3 linked regions of the Arabidopsis thaliana genome follow. The protein of the gene in region 1 interacts with the protein of each later gene in a pairwise test. Each region holds a gene or a part of one and is shown in the gene's direction. Other genes may lie near its edges.

What was found.
Region 2: the proteins of WRKY41 (region 1) and AT5G11010 interact in binary tests that used the Arabidopsis thaliana proteins (3 or more experiments, as listed by UniProt).
Region 3: the proteins of WRKY41 (region 1) and IAA30 interact in binary tests that used the Arabidopsis thaliana proteins (3 or more experiments, as listed by UniProt).

The regions. Positions count from the first base shown.
Region 1 is NC_003075.7:6,757,012-6,761,301, forward strand, and holds WRKY41 (WRKY family transcription factor), read left to right. Parts: upstream 1-2,086; 5' UTR 2,087-2,291; coding exon 2,292-2,644; intron 2,645-2,785; coding exon 2,786-2,914; intron 2,915-3,266; exon of another isoform or gene 3,267-3,292; coding exon 3,293-3,752; 3' UTR 3,753-3,783; downstream 3,784-4,290. Other genes in the region: 3xHMG-box1 (HMG (high mobility group) box protein), read right to left, coding at 3,887-3,994, 4,090-4,174, 4,251-4,290. UniProt on the Arabidopsis thaliana protein: Transcription factor. Interacts specifically with the W box (5'-(T)TGAC[CT]-3'), a frequently occurring elicitor-responsive cis-acting element.
Region 2 is NC_003076.8:3,481,684-3,486,823, forward strand, and holds AT5G11010 (Pre-mRNA cleavage complex II protein family), read left to right. Parts: upstream 1-1,948; 5' UTR 1,949-2,180; exon of another isoform or gene 2,181-2,470; 5' UTR 2,471-2,492; coding exon 2,493-2,659; intron 2,660-2,916; coding exon 2,917-3,014; intron 3,015-3,126; coding exon 3,127-3,166; intron 3,167-3,246; coding exon 3,247-3,404; intron 3,405-3,484; coding exon 3,485-3,668; intron 3,669-3,756; coding exon 3,757-3,934; intron 3,935-4,016; coding exon 4,017-4,116; coding exon of another isoform or gene 4,117-4,148; exon of another isoform or gene 4,149-4,202; coding exon 4,203-4,384; 3' UTR 4,385-4,584; downstream 4,585-5,140. Other genes in the region: AT5G11020 (Protein kinase superfamily protein), read right to left, coding at 4,756-4,905, 5,002-5,091. UniProt on the Arabidopsis thaliana protein: Polynucleotide 5'-kinase involved in rRNA processing.
Region 3 is NC_003074.8:22,993,682-22,997,309, forward strand, and holds IAA30 (indole-3-acetic acid inducible 30), read left to right. Parts: upstream 1-2,004; 5' UTR 2,005-2,153; coding exon 2,154-2,520; intron 2,521-2,650; coding exon 2,651-2,747; coding exon of another isoform or gene 2,748-2,751; exon of another isoform or gene 2,752-2,857; coding exon 2,858-2,912; 3' UTR 2,913-3,128; downstream 3,129-3,628. UniProt on the Arabidopsis thaliana protein: Aux/IAA proteins are short-lived transcriptional factors that function as repressors of early auxin response genes at low auxin concentrations.

The DNA.
Region 1 (4,290 bases):
TTCCAAAACAACACGAGTAGTTTTGCTTGAATATATCTAAAAATAAACAAAAATAATTAAAATATCCGAAAAAATCCTAATATTTTCTGTATACAAGTATAAATATAACTAATATATACTTATATATGAGATATGTTTGGATACCTATTCAGGTTCGGGTTTTTTGGGTTTTGAAGTTCAGAACCGCTCGGGTCTTTGAAAATTTTGGGTTCGGGTTCGGATCGGTTCTTAGGGTTGGGGTATTATGCCTAGGCCTATTAATTATGTTTTGTTAATTTTTAATTATTTTTAATACTAAATAGGATATAGATTTGATATGTCATAAATATTATTTTGATATGAAAATGTTATCATTCAATATGAAGTGTGTAGAATTTAAATCGAGTTTATTATGATGACATAGATAGTTAAACTGTATTACAAAATTGAATGTGTAAGATATAAATTTATTTTTTCTTTTTCTTTTCTAGATATTAAATTAAATATAGAATGATGATCGGTTACTTTTTAGAATTCAAATATCATTCATAAGATTGAGTGTGTATAATTAAAATAGAATGGATAAGACTGAAATTTTGTTTAAACCAATAATTATTAAATTAAATATCAAGAAAAATATATTGATTATTATACAAATTTCTATCGATAAAACTTAATTTTTGTATCTTAGACCCGCCTAAATAGCAGATGCTGAATTTAAGAGAATAAAAAAGTTAAATTTTTGTATCTTAATTTTTATATAATAAGATTCTATTTTTTTTAAGAGAATAAAAAAATTAAATTTTGAATGACAAATGTAAACATCTGATCGTTTGACTTGACACGTGGCACGATTCTATGAGTTAGTAACTTAATTAGCATATGTAAATTTGTTTACTTTTTAAGATTTTCTATTTTTTTAAGAGAATAAAAAAGTTAAATTTTAAATGACACATGTAAACATCTGATCGTTTGACTTGACACGTGGACACGATCCTATGAGTTAGAAACTTTGAAAACCATACTTTATATAATAAGATAAGATTTTTAAGACTCTAAATATTTGTTTATAGTTTAAGTATACACTAATGCATCACAATGTCACATTAACGTATTTAACTTTACACAACACGTAGGTACGTGGACTTAGTAATGAAAACGGATATACTTTCAATATGTTATAGCAAAAACTAATCTTCCAAGTCCATTAAGACAAAAAATCAACTAATGGCAGTAAAGTTACAGATCAATCATGAGATATGGAATTTCAGATGGAACTTCTTTTAATTTGATACACTTTGAGTCTTTGACGATGGATGGACTTGGTCAGCAGAAACCTTTTTTTACGATCTTGTATTGAATTATGAATGTATGTGTCATCTCACTTTTCTCTGTAATAGTTTATGGTTCATTTCATACAATCATACTGTAACTTTCTAAGATATCATGGAATTTTGTTTACATCTTTAAATGTTAGAAATTAATTAGAATGTCAAAATACAGTTGAACTTATTTAGTTAGCTCATCCTGATTTTGTACTATATTTTATAATTGAGATTTGGTATCTAATATTTGTGCTATAACTGCTAGTCTGCTATGCTATATATTTCATATTTAAATCTGGTAGACTATCTGAAGATGTTGAACACAAACAAAATAAATGATACAAAAACGGTTGTCGTCAATAGAATAACAAGTTATACAAGAAATGGTTTGTTGCTACCAAAATAGAAATCAATGTAATAGTACATTTTGCAGATAGATATTGAAAAAGAACCTTAACAAAGTTAATACTTGGAAAAGGTACAGTTTATTTCTATCCTAATAATATAATTATTTAGTAAACCACTAGATTTAAATAACTAATCAACTTGGTTAAACTAAAATAAACCCAAAGTTGATTTGGTCAGCATTTGACCTATAGTAAACACCACCACTTATACACTCTGAAACGATATATTCTTAATGAAGACCAAAGACTTTCTCAACTTTGAATCTTTTTCCTATTTGTTTAATAGTTTGCTCACTTGGTCAAATTTTCAAACATATCTTTTAAAACCTTTAAATTCCAAAAGAACACGCTTCGTTTTAGTACATTCTCATCATTCAAATACCAAAAATCTCACATCTTTTTCCTAAACCACAATCACATGTTCTTAATCTAAACCTTACTATAAAAAAGTTAAAAAGCTATCACATCTCTTCACCTTCAATGTCAAAAGTTTTTCCAAAAAATTCATAACTATTTCTTCCGGTCACCGTAAACCGGGGTTTTACCGCCTTTCGAATTTACTCAAGACACTAAAAGTAACATGGAAATGATGAATTGGGAGCGGAGGAGTTTGCTAAACGAGCTAATTCATGGACTAAAAGCGGCCAAGCAGCTTCAGGGTTCGTCTTCTCCATCGTTGTCAGCTTCTTCTTCATATTTGACGACGGAGATAAAGGAGAATCTCTTACATAACATAGTTTCTTCCTTCAAAAAAGCTATTTTGATGCTCAACGGATCCACCACACAACACAATCCAACGATAGAGCTTGCGCCTGATCCCCTAGCTCATCCCGGAAAGGTTCCAGGATCTCCAGCATCGATCACCGGAAATCCGAGAAGCGAAGAGTTTTTCAATGTAAGATCGAAAGAATTCAACTTAAGTTCTAAAAAGAGGTAAAAATTTGAACTTAAATTAGCGTTATAAAGAAGAGAAAAGCTTATTAAAATTTAATAATAATAATAATAATATTAGAATTCAAAAAAAATAGCCAGATTTTTTGAATTAGAGATTTGACAATTAATGAAAATTTGCAGGAAGATGTTGCCAAAGTGGACAGAGCAAGTGAGAATTAGCCCAGAGAGAGGCTTAGAAGGACCTCATGACGATATCTTCAGCTGGAGAAAATATGGCCAGAAAGACATTTTGGGCGCCAAATTCCCAAGGTACATCATCATACTCTATCATCATCATCATAATCATCATGTTTACGAATAGTACATTTGTTAAAAGATTGGTTAATAGCAGCGGATAAATGTTGAGTATAATTATATGAGTAATATATACCTAAAATTACTATTCAAAGTGTATTCTCATATTAAAAACTATTTTGCATAATTTAAATATCGAATATGTAATGAATAATTCTGAATATAATACAAGATAAATTAGATATTTAAAATTATTATCCGAGTTTGCTATATGAAGGTCGGATTTGTATATAATCAGATAGTTTTTTTTGGCTAAATTTACGTGGCTTTAAGAAGAAGAAAAAATTAGTTTTAGTTTTACTAATTTAGGACTAATTTGTGTTTTTATTGCAGGAGTTATTACAGATGCACATTTCGTAACACACAGTACTGTTGGGCTACGAAACAAGTCCAAAGATCGGACGGTGATCCAACGATCTTCGAAGTAACATACAGAGGAACACACACTTGTTCACAGGGGATCCCACTTCCAGAGAAACGAGAAACCAAACCAAAACACACAGTAGCAGTAAATTACCAGAATCTCAGGGCCAGTCTTACCGTACGTACCGGCGGACTTGGAAGCGAAGCTTTCTCATTCCCCGTCACGTCGCCGTTATACACTTACGAGTCCATCAACGGTGGTGGAACGTTTTACCACCACGTGGGAAGTTCTGGTCCGTCGGATTTCACTGGATTGATCTCAACAAATACTTCCACAGGAAGTTCTCCAATCTTCGACGTTAATTTTCAATTTGATCCAACGGCTGAGATTAACACAGGCTTCCCCACTTTTTTCCACAATTCGATTTAAGTAGTACAGTATTGAATATTCTTGAGATTAATATAATCCCGATTAGCGCCTAGCGATTTAAGTAGCAGAGTCATTTTGCATAAGTAGAGATGTTCAATATGAGCAAACTTGAACATTCTCTAATTTTTCTTTCTCTACGACGAAGTCTTGGTCTTATTGTACTCTTCCACTTCTTTCTTGTAAGCTTCCATTAACTCAGCAGCTTTGCTATTGTAAACTTGTTTCTCCTCTTCACCAAGTTCCTACAACAAAATTGTAACCAAAACCAACTCAATTTCACAACTAACAGTGATAAAATCTTACTCGTTGGATTCGAGTTTCATGATTTATAATATACCATCCATTTCAATGAAATGTGAGCAGTAACAGTTGAGTTGTTGATCCCAGGATGTTCTTCTAACACACTCTTTCTTGCGTCTTTGCTGTAAAAAGATTTGAGATTATAAAACCAGTTTAGCATCTGATTGTTTTGTGGATTCAGGGTTTTAAAGTATATACCAGAAGAGAAAGTATGAAGAAGTAGGCTTTTTGGGTTTGT
Region 2 (5,140 bases), on another chromosome or scaffold:
CGTTTTAATAAGACTAAAATATTATTTTTGACGGTAAAAAAGAAGACAGTAAAAATAATTCTTTCCCGATCTAAAATCAGCATAATTTTGAACTTAATAAAAAAATCATATTACTAAAACAATGTTCTCCCGAGTAAGTTGGTATAGCTAATGCAAAAAGAGTCCTTGTTGTCTCATCCCATGCCATAATCTTTGGATCATATCCACATGTTTTTTGATTGTACAAGTGAGATCTTTGATAGCAATAAACAATTTCATGTAATAATTACACTTACTTGTAGCTAGCAATATGGTTTGCTTCAAAATTACTCTGTCTCCTATCTTTTCGAGTACTTTCAAATCAAAGGAGGATATTTGTTTCATTTATTGACAAAAACTCGTACTTCCAAACTTAGTCTGGACAATACTTTAACAAGAAGAAAGAAAGTATATATATATATAGAACATAAAGTTATCTAAAGTTAATTTTGAAGAAATGGTGGTTAAGAGAGTATGTATACTTGATTTTGTTTAATGAAATTATAAGAAAAACGAAACGATTTTGAGAGCAATGGTTGACTGAATTTTCTCATGTGGAAGACTAAGACCAGGTCAGATTGAAACGACAACACGCTTTTAGTAATTCAACTTAATAACCCCTCCTCTCTCGAGTCTCGTCGACCTTCATTTTCTTATACTGTCTGTCCACTTCTTAGATTCTCTTTTCAACTTTTCAAATACCTTTCTTTTCTTTGAGCACCTACTTCAACTTCATTAATATCTTTTGACTAAACGGCAGTTTTTTTTATATAATTGATTTGGTGAAACTGTGTGTATGATTGGTATAATCTTCTACCAGAATGACAATAATTTGGCCGCTCACAAAAATCCTATTAAGAAGGTAACCAAAAAGTAGAAATATAGGCTGTGTGTAAAAGAAAGAAAAAAAACTGTGTAGAGATAAATTCTACATGCTACTGCTAAAGATTTAATTGTTTTTTTACAACCTCTGATTTCATATCTTGGTACTAATAGCTGTTTTACTTTAGGAGAAATAGTAATTTATGTATTTACCAGTTAATCATCAGATCCGAGAACCTTGTAATGGGCAAATAAATTGTGAAGATAATTATAAGGACACAACAAATATATGTTAATACAAACAATGTTGTTCCATGTGGGGGTTTTCACTAACTTGTGAAAAACTTTGAATTTATTTGTATTTCAGAAAAGTGTATATTATATGACGAAAAAAAATAAAGTATATATTATATATGCATTTTGAAAATATATGGTTAATAATGAATTCATCGGCGGAATATTAGCTGCTACGAAGTAATTGAGATCTCGAAATATATATATATGATTGGTGGGAAAGAGCAGGTTCATGTCTCCAAGTTCATTATTTTAACGAAATAATATTACGTACAAAATTTGCTGGAGATGAGGAGCTAGGTACCAAATTAAATCTTATAAACAATGGCTCTAGAGTTGTCACTCTTACGTTTGCATGTGTATTGTTTGATACTAATCTTTTGACAATCCAACTTGATATTCTTATTTTGATTATTAAGCCCAATTGAACTGAGTCTAATGACTAATGAGTATTACCTATATAGAAGCTCATGATTGATTTAATTTTAGTTGGTTGTTCTAAGCCTTTTCTTGTGTAAGTGGAACTCAAACCACGTGTTCATAGGTTTCACTTGTGTATGCACTCCTGAAAGGAGGATTAGACTAGTAGTCTTCCGTACGCAGTTCTACTTCTGCCATTGCCACTGCTACACTGGCTGTCGTTTCTTCTAGCGGACATAGCTCCCAGTTCGAACTCATTCACTCGTTTTTTGGTTTATGTTCAAACTTTCTAGGTACATAATCTTAAATTTTGATCCACATTCGAATAGACACATTAGACAAGGTCGTTCTCGAGTAATTCCTATTTTTTTTCCGGTTCGCTAACACTTTGTTCTGGGTTTAACCATACCGGTTTTTATTTGAAACGAATTCTATTAATTGTGGTTTAAGTTCCGGTTCGGTTTCGAAAGCACTAGGAGAAACTAAAATCCCTAAATTTTCATCGTTCCCTCTGCTTCTCCGACGGCTCGATACCTTCTCCTCTGGTCGACGACTCAAAAATCGCCGGTTATAGTTTTTTCTTCCGACCGTTTTCTAGTTTCGTCATTTTCCGTGTTATTTAACAAGTATGTTTACGTTGAGCTTCATTCTCTATTACGATGTCTTACCTCGTAGAGACTTTACCTAGATTAATCGGGGCATATCGAGCTTGATGTGATGTTTTAGGTTAGTAGAATCGAGCTTAGATACATCAAATTTGAGCAGAGTCTCTAATACTCGTGTTTTAGGTAGAAAAAGATGAATTTTGTTCTTTGTTATGTACATTAGCTTAAACCCTTGTTAAAACACAGTTAAGAACTTGTTGGTTGTTTATAAAATGGTCTTTTATTGAACTCTTTTACATGATTTCTCTCAGAGAAAGATAAGGTGTGGCTGCAATGTCTGAAGCAGAAAATAAATTGCCTTTCATACCAGAGGAATGGTCAAATGCAGCAAGTTCTGTTTCCTGCAGTTCGTTGCAACCGGTTATAGCTTTGGTCTGTGGCCCTAAAAACAGTGGCAAAAGCACATTTTCACGCAATCTTGTTGAAGTTCTTCTCCAAAGGTTATTACTTTCCGTTAGCCTCTCTTTATTGTTCCCGGTCTTTTAATGAGTGTTCGTGAGTCTGATTATTGGGGAAAACTGTCTTTTTTTTTTTTTTTTTTTTTTCCGATCAGGGGAAAACTGTCTTGACCTTCTACTTCTTATAATTTGAATGGAACCAGATTTAGTTTGAATGGATGCAATTTTCTTAAGTGGCTTATGATGGTTGCTTTGTTTCGATAAGTTTTGCTGACAATTGACCTTTGTGGTTCTTACAGATACAAAAGGGTTGCTTATTTGGATACTGATGTTGGCCAGCCTGAATTTACTGCACCTGGTTTCCTTTCTCTCACAATTGTTGATAAATCAATTCTAGGTAACCCTCATACTTATTGCTTTCACGATTCTTGTTGTTTGCATTCCGAAAACTTGTTTTCATAATGCTGTTTCAGTCACTTATGTTTCTGGTTATATTTTCTACTTTGTAGAATCGGATTGGACAGTTCCATGTGTAAAGACACCAGAGAGGTTAGTTTGGATCAAGCAAATTTTGTGATGTTAAGAATTTAAGCGACTTATTCCCCTTTCTCTTTTGTTTGATGATTCAGATGCTTCTTCTATGGTGATGTTTCTTCAAAGAGGGATCCAAAGGCATATTTAAGATATGTATATACCTTATTCGATTACTATCAGCTACACTTCTGCAAGTCTAGCGAGAACAAAACTGAATTGCCGCTTGTCATTAATACACCAGGATGGGTTAAAGGTAACTCACTCTCTTTATCCTTTCAAAACAAAAGGAACAGATTTTTTCTTTCACTAATAGAAATGATTCACAACCTTTAGGAATTGGCTATGAGTTATTGGTGGACGTGCTGAGATATGTTTCCCCTTCCCACGTTGTGAAAATTAACATCTCTGCTTACAACAAGAACCTACCAGCTGGGTTGTTCTGGTTAGACGGTAATGATGATGAGACAGCTCATTTGATAGAGATCCAATCTGCTTACCAAGACAGATATAATCAATCGTAAGTCCTGTACAATGCTAGTTATCGAATAATCTCACCGATACGCTTTGTTCGAGTAGTTACAAGTTTTTGTATCCTGTTTGTACAGCATTTTAATACATAAGGATGCTCGTTTGATGAGGGACATGCGTATAATCGCCTACTTTAGGCAATGCTTTAAAGGAAAAGAAGTAAACACGATCAAAGAACTAACACATGAACTCGCTTCCCATATTCCTTATGAAGTTCCAATATCGAGTTTAACAATCAACCATCTCCATTGTCAGGTAAAAAGAAAACAGTATAAAGGTCATATCTTTCTAATCCATATGATTGATGATGCCAATAATGGGGTTCTCTTCTTTTTAGATCCCAAGTTCTGAAGTGTATTATAGTTTGAATGCTTCCATTGTTGGTTTGGGCATTAGCACCGAGGTGTTTGAGGATTTGCCATCATGCGTAGGTCTTGGTAAGTTTCTATTTATCCATTGCAATCAGTGATCGAACATGGGTTTATGATTATGTATTGAAGTTGGTTTTGGATGTTGAATGTAGGAATCGTGAGGGGTATTGACACAGAGAGAGGAATATTATATGTGATCACTCCAGTACCAGAAAACTTAGTTGAGAAAGTTGATCTTCTATTGCAAGGCTATATTCAGTTACCTACTTGCCTCTTAGAGGTGAAGGATTACAGGTCGCCATATTTATCTGCCAACGTCTTAGCTTCCACCTGATTTCTTTTAAGACATTTTTGCTCAGTTCTTCGTTTTTACTATGTGTCAGTTTATCTACAAAGTTTCATGTTTTTTTATAGTTCAACTTACTATGCAACCAGGGTTAGATCATCTTGGAGACGCAGTTAGTTATGTGTCTTGTCCACACCTACTACTAATGTCACCATTTACAACTTATAATAATTTTCATTTGTTTTCGTAAATAGAAATCACATGAGAAAAGAGTTCATCAACAGTGCGCAAGTAAGCATTTCAAAAGGATACTGTAATGTTCCGGTTACAACTTCTAACCCAATATACACATCAAAACCACCTACCGGTCAATATTAAACCGAATTTCTATAAAAAAAAACACCGGTTTTCTATGGTGTTTAACAGTGATCCATTGAAGCACATTTGATGGTTTTTAAGGTTCCACCAAGTTCCATTGGAACCAAAGGTATAAGAGAATGCAAGACGTCTGTAATCAACGGTCTATAACTCGGTTCTGGCTGCACGCACAAAATCGCCACTGCCGCTACCTACACATTCACATGCTCGCATCAAAACTCTTGATACTATCTCATCAAAACCAACTATATACTTTGCACAATCAACTAAATCCTTCTCAAACGTACCTGGTAAAGGTGTTTCAAGTCCATCGTATCTTTAATCGCAGGATCTATGACGCTTGGTAACTTGGTTCTATCAGTGAGATAAGGCATTGCCTGAGAAGAATAAAAAAACACAATTCAAAGTTGGTTCCAAGTCTAAGAG
Region 3 (3,628 bases), on another chromosome or scaffold:
TTTCTTTTGGTTCAAGCTAAATCTTTTTCTCTTCTTCTTTCTAATAGTATCTATTTGTTTCTTCAAACCAAACGATATCTACGCAATACATGTCGGTTATTGTGATAACGACATTGTTTGGATGTTTCGGGTTCAAAAGATTTGTATGAATGTGTATACTATATATGTTTTTGGCTCAATGATAAAGACACTTGATAAGAGATTCAGGATCGTTTCAAATTATTTTAAAAAACTATATATAATATGAAAAACACTTTAATACTTAAGAATACTATTTGTAATCCGTAAAACTTTAAGTTCTAAAACCATTAATTAAAAATAAGAAACAAGTTACGTTGTACATATAAACTAAAAGACGGAATGGAATATGATTTGATTGTAAAAATAACTTTGGACAAAATCTTCCAATTATAAAAGAGAGAACAAAGAGTTCTAATCATATTGATTGGTAGGTCATGAAGAAGCTTAAGGAGTGATTGTAGAAGAGTGGAAGTGGAGGCGACAAAGTGAGGAGACACGTGGAAAAAGGCACGTGACGTGGGGAACGTGAAATGTTGTCGATAGTGTTTACTGTCTCGTGCTTGCAAAACTATATGTATGTTTTGGAGTGTGAGAATTGTGACGTATCCTCAGTCCTTAGTCCATAGGCGAAGCATCTCTCATTAGCTCCTCTCTTTAAGGTTACGCATTCATTACTCATGCTTCCCTTCTCTCATTTTCTTTCTTTTTCTATATTCCCCTCTATTTGTTTCTTCGCTTCTAATTTATTACATGTAACGTACAAAACCAAGAAGCATGCACTTTTTTCTGGTGACCAAAGTTTAATATATCAACCGAATTGACTATACCACATACATGTTTCTATCTAAATCCAATGAATATTACACAAATAGAATCTTGGTGTGCCAACCAAAGAGAAGCATTTATTAAAGTCACTATTTTGAATACTAACGACGGATAAGACTAAGATCACCAATATGATGTGTTTTGGTCTCTGCCATGAAAAGATACAGAAATTCTGATTAAGATTTGTGGGAGATTAGCACCACTTGATTCACTTTGATTGCTACACATAAAAGGTTGGTAAATTGGTTTAGTATTGGAAAAATATAGTAGTGGTTGGACTTGACTATAGATGCTTCATGATAAGATAAATTAAAAGGAACAATCAAATTAGTAGAGGAGTGTAATTACTAACAGCGACGTGGATTAAAATCATGGAAAGCTCAAACTCTTGTCATGCTTAGATACAATGGAGTCCACGTAGACTATTTTCAATATTTTTTGTCATAATTAAAGAACATTATTAGAGAGTTAATGACGTACATGAGACGTGTTTAGCAGTTGATATTCAATTTAAAAAACATTTTGACATACTTTAATGCTAAAACAAAAACATTTTTTTTGCTTAAAGTGTCTCGCGGTTATAAAAAAAACCTTAATTATGGAAGTGTTGTTTGTCGAACCCACGAATGCATCAATGCGCGTCACGATAGTCTCATGCATTGAACTTGATTTTACTAAGACGGATAATGAAGTAAACTATGTATTGTACATTGGTCTACATTTATTTAAGAAAACATGTTCTTATCCGGTTTAGAACTATCTTGTCTACGTTCATATGATTCCTTAAATCTAAGCCTAAACTTTTTAAACTAAATCAGTCACAGTTTCTTATTCATTTATAGTGTTTTAACAAAATAATTCAGTTAATTCTAAAATCCAACCCTAATTATTTTATAAGAAATCAAACAATCTTTTTTCTTTTTTTTTTTGTTAAACGAAAGGTAGTACTAGGAGTCGAGTATATTTACATTGAAACAAACAAAATTTAATTAGAACACACCCAGCAAAAAAATCCGAGCACAAAGTCAAAACCAACACTTTGACCAAGTGTCTGCATGACACGTGTATTTGTCTGCTACATGGACAACATCTTTAACAACACTGTCTCATCATTCCACCATTTTCTTTAATTAAAAAAAAAACATATCAGAAAGACCATTCCAATATTATTACTTCTTCCTTTTAAGCTCTAACAATTAAATAAAAATTTCCATTCTCTATATATAATACACACACGTTCAAATCATTAATCACCTGTTTTAGATAAAATCATAGAGAGAGAGAAATAGTAAAAGAAATAAAAAAAAATGGGAAGAGGGAGAAGCTCATCGTCTTCATCGATAGAGAGCAGCTGCAAAAGCAACCCATTTGGTGTGTCTTCGAGTAATACTCGGAACCTAAGCACGGACCTGAGACTCGGGCTCAGCTTCGGATCATCTTCCGGACAATATTACAACGGTGGAGATAACCATGAATATGATGGAGTCGGTGCGGCAGAGGAAATGATGATCATGGAAGAAGAAGAGCAAAACGAGTGTAATAGTGTCGGAAGCTTCTACGTGAAAGTGAACATGGAAGGAGTTCCTATTGGGAGAAAGATCGATCTTTTATCTCTTAATGGATATCATGATTTGATCACAACTCTCGACTACATGTTCAATGCTTCAATCCTTTGTAAGTATCTACACACACTTAATTACATCTTTGCATGTAGACTTAGTTAATATTTATATTTGTTATACCTCTCTTTGCATGTATATAGTTAAGACCAAAACTAATGGCAATAAAAAAATTGTGAAAATAGGGGCTGAAGAAGAAGATATGTGTAGTGAGAAGAGTCACGTGCTAACGTACGCAGACAAAGAAGGTGACTGGATGATGGTTGGAGATGTTCCTTGGGAGTAAGTTCTTTTTTAATTTTAGTGTATTAAAAATCTCTAGTTAAGTATTTTTTTTGACATAATTATGTAAAAATTCCCTTTAATTAATGGGGACTTAATTGATTATGTAGGATGTTCTTGTCTAGCGTGAGAAGACTAAAGATCTCAAGAGCTTATCACTACTGATTTTCTAAAAGCAAACTTGGAAGAATCTAGGATTGACCAATACAGTCAGTGGTGGTGGGGGAAAAAGTTAGTTTTGTCTGAATGTAAATCACTTGTTCGAGATTTTATTCAAATTTTGTTTCTAGTTTTATTACATTTATAAAAAAATCGGTTGTAACTTGTAATGAAGCTATTTTTTTCAAGAAAAAAAGCTGTAGCTAATGCAGATCCTTTTTGGTTTAGTAGTTATTTTTATGGTTTTAGACATAGATTAGATAATACTAGAAATATGAATTGTTTTGGAACACTGCTGAATTAGGTTCATATTCGTATTCTAGTTTTCACAAAGTTTCAGTTGAGTTACTAGTTTAACCAAATCAAGATCTATTTCATATTTTCATACTATCATTTACTTCTCAATTCAACTATTTTACCGGAATAAACAGTGAAATATAGTTGTTCTAGTTATGGAATCTGAAATTGAAAAATAATTGTCAAAAAATTTCAACAGACTCTGTCGGAGATATTACAATTGTTCCGCTCACCAAAAGCATTAAAGCCCATACAAGGAAAACAAAAACAAAAACTCTTAAGCCACTCTGATTATTTTCCTCACTGCACACAAATTTACACGAAAACAACAAAAGATGAAAGAAAGCATCATTTTTCAAAATCGAAGAGGTTTCTTCAGAATCAAGCAAACTGTGTTTCCCCTTTGATGTTCAAAACTTCACAGT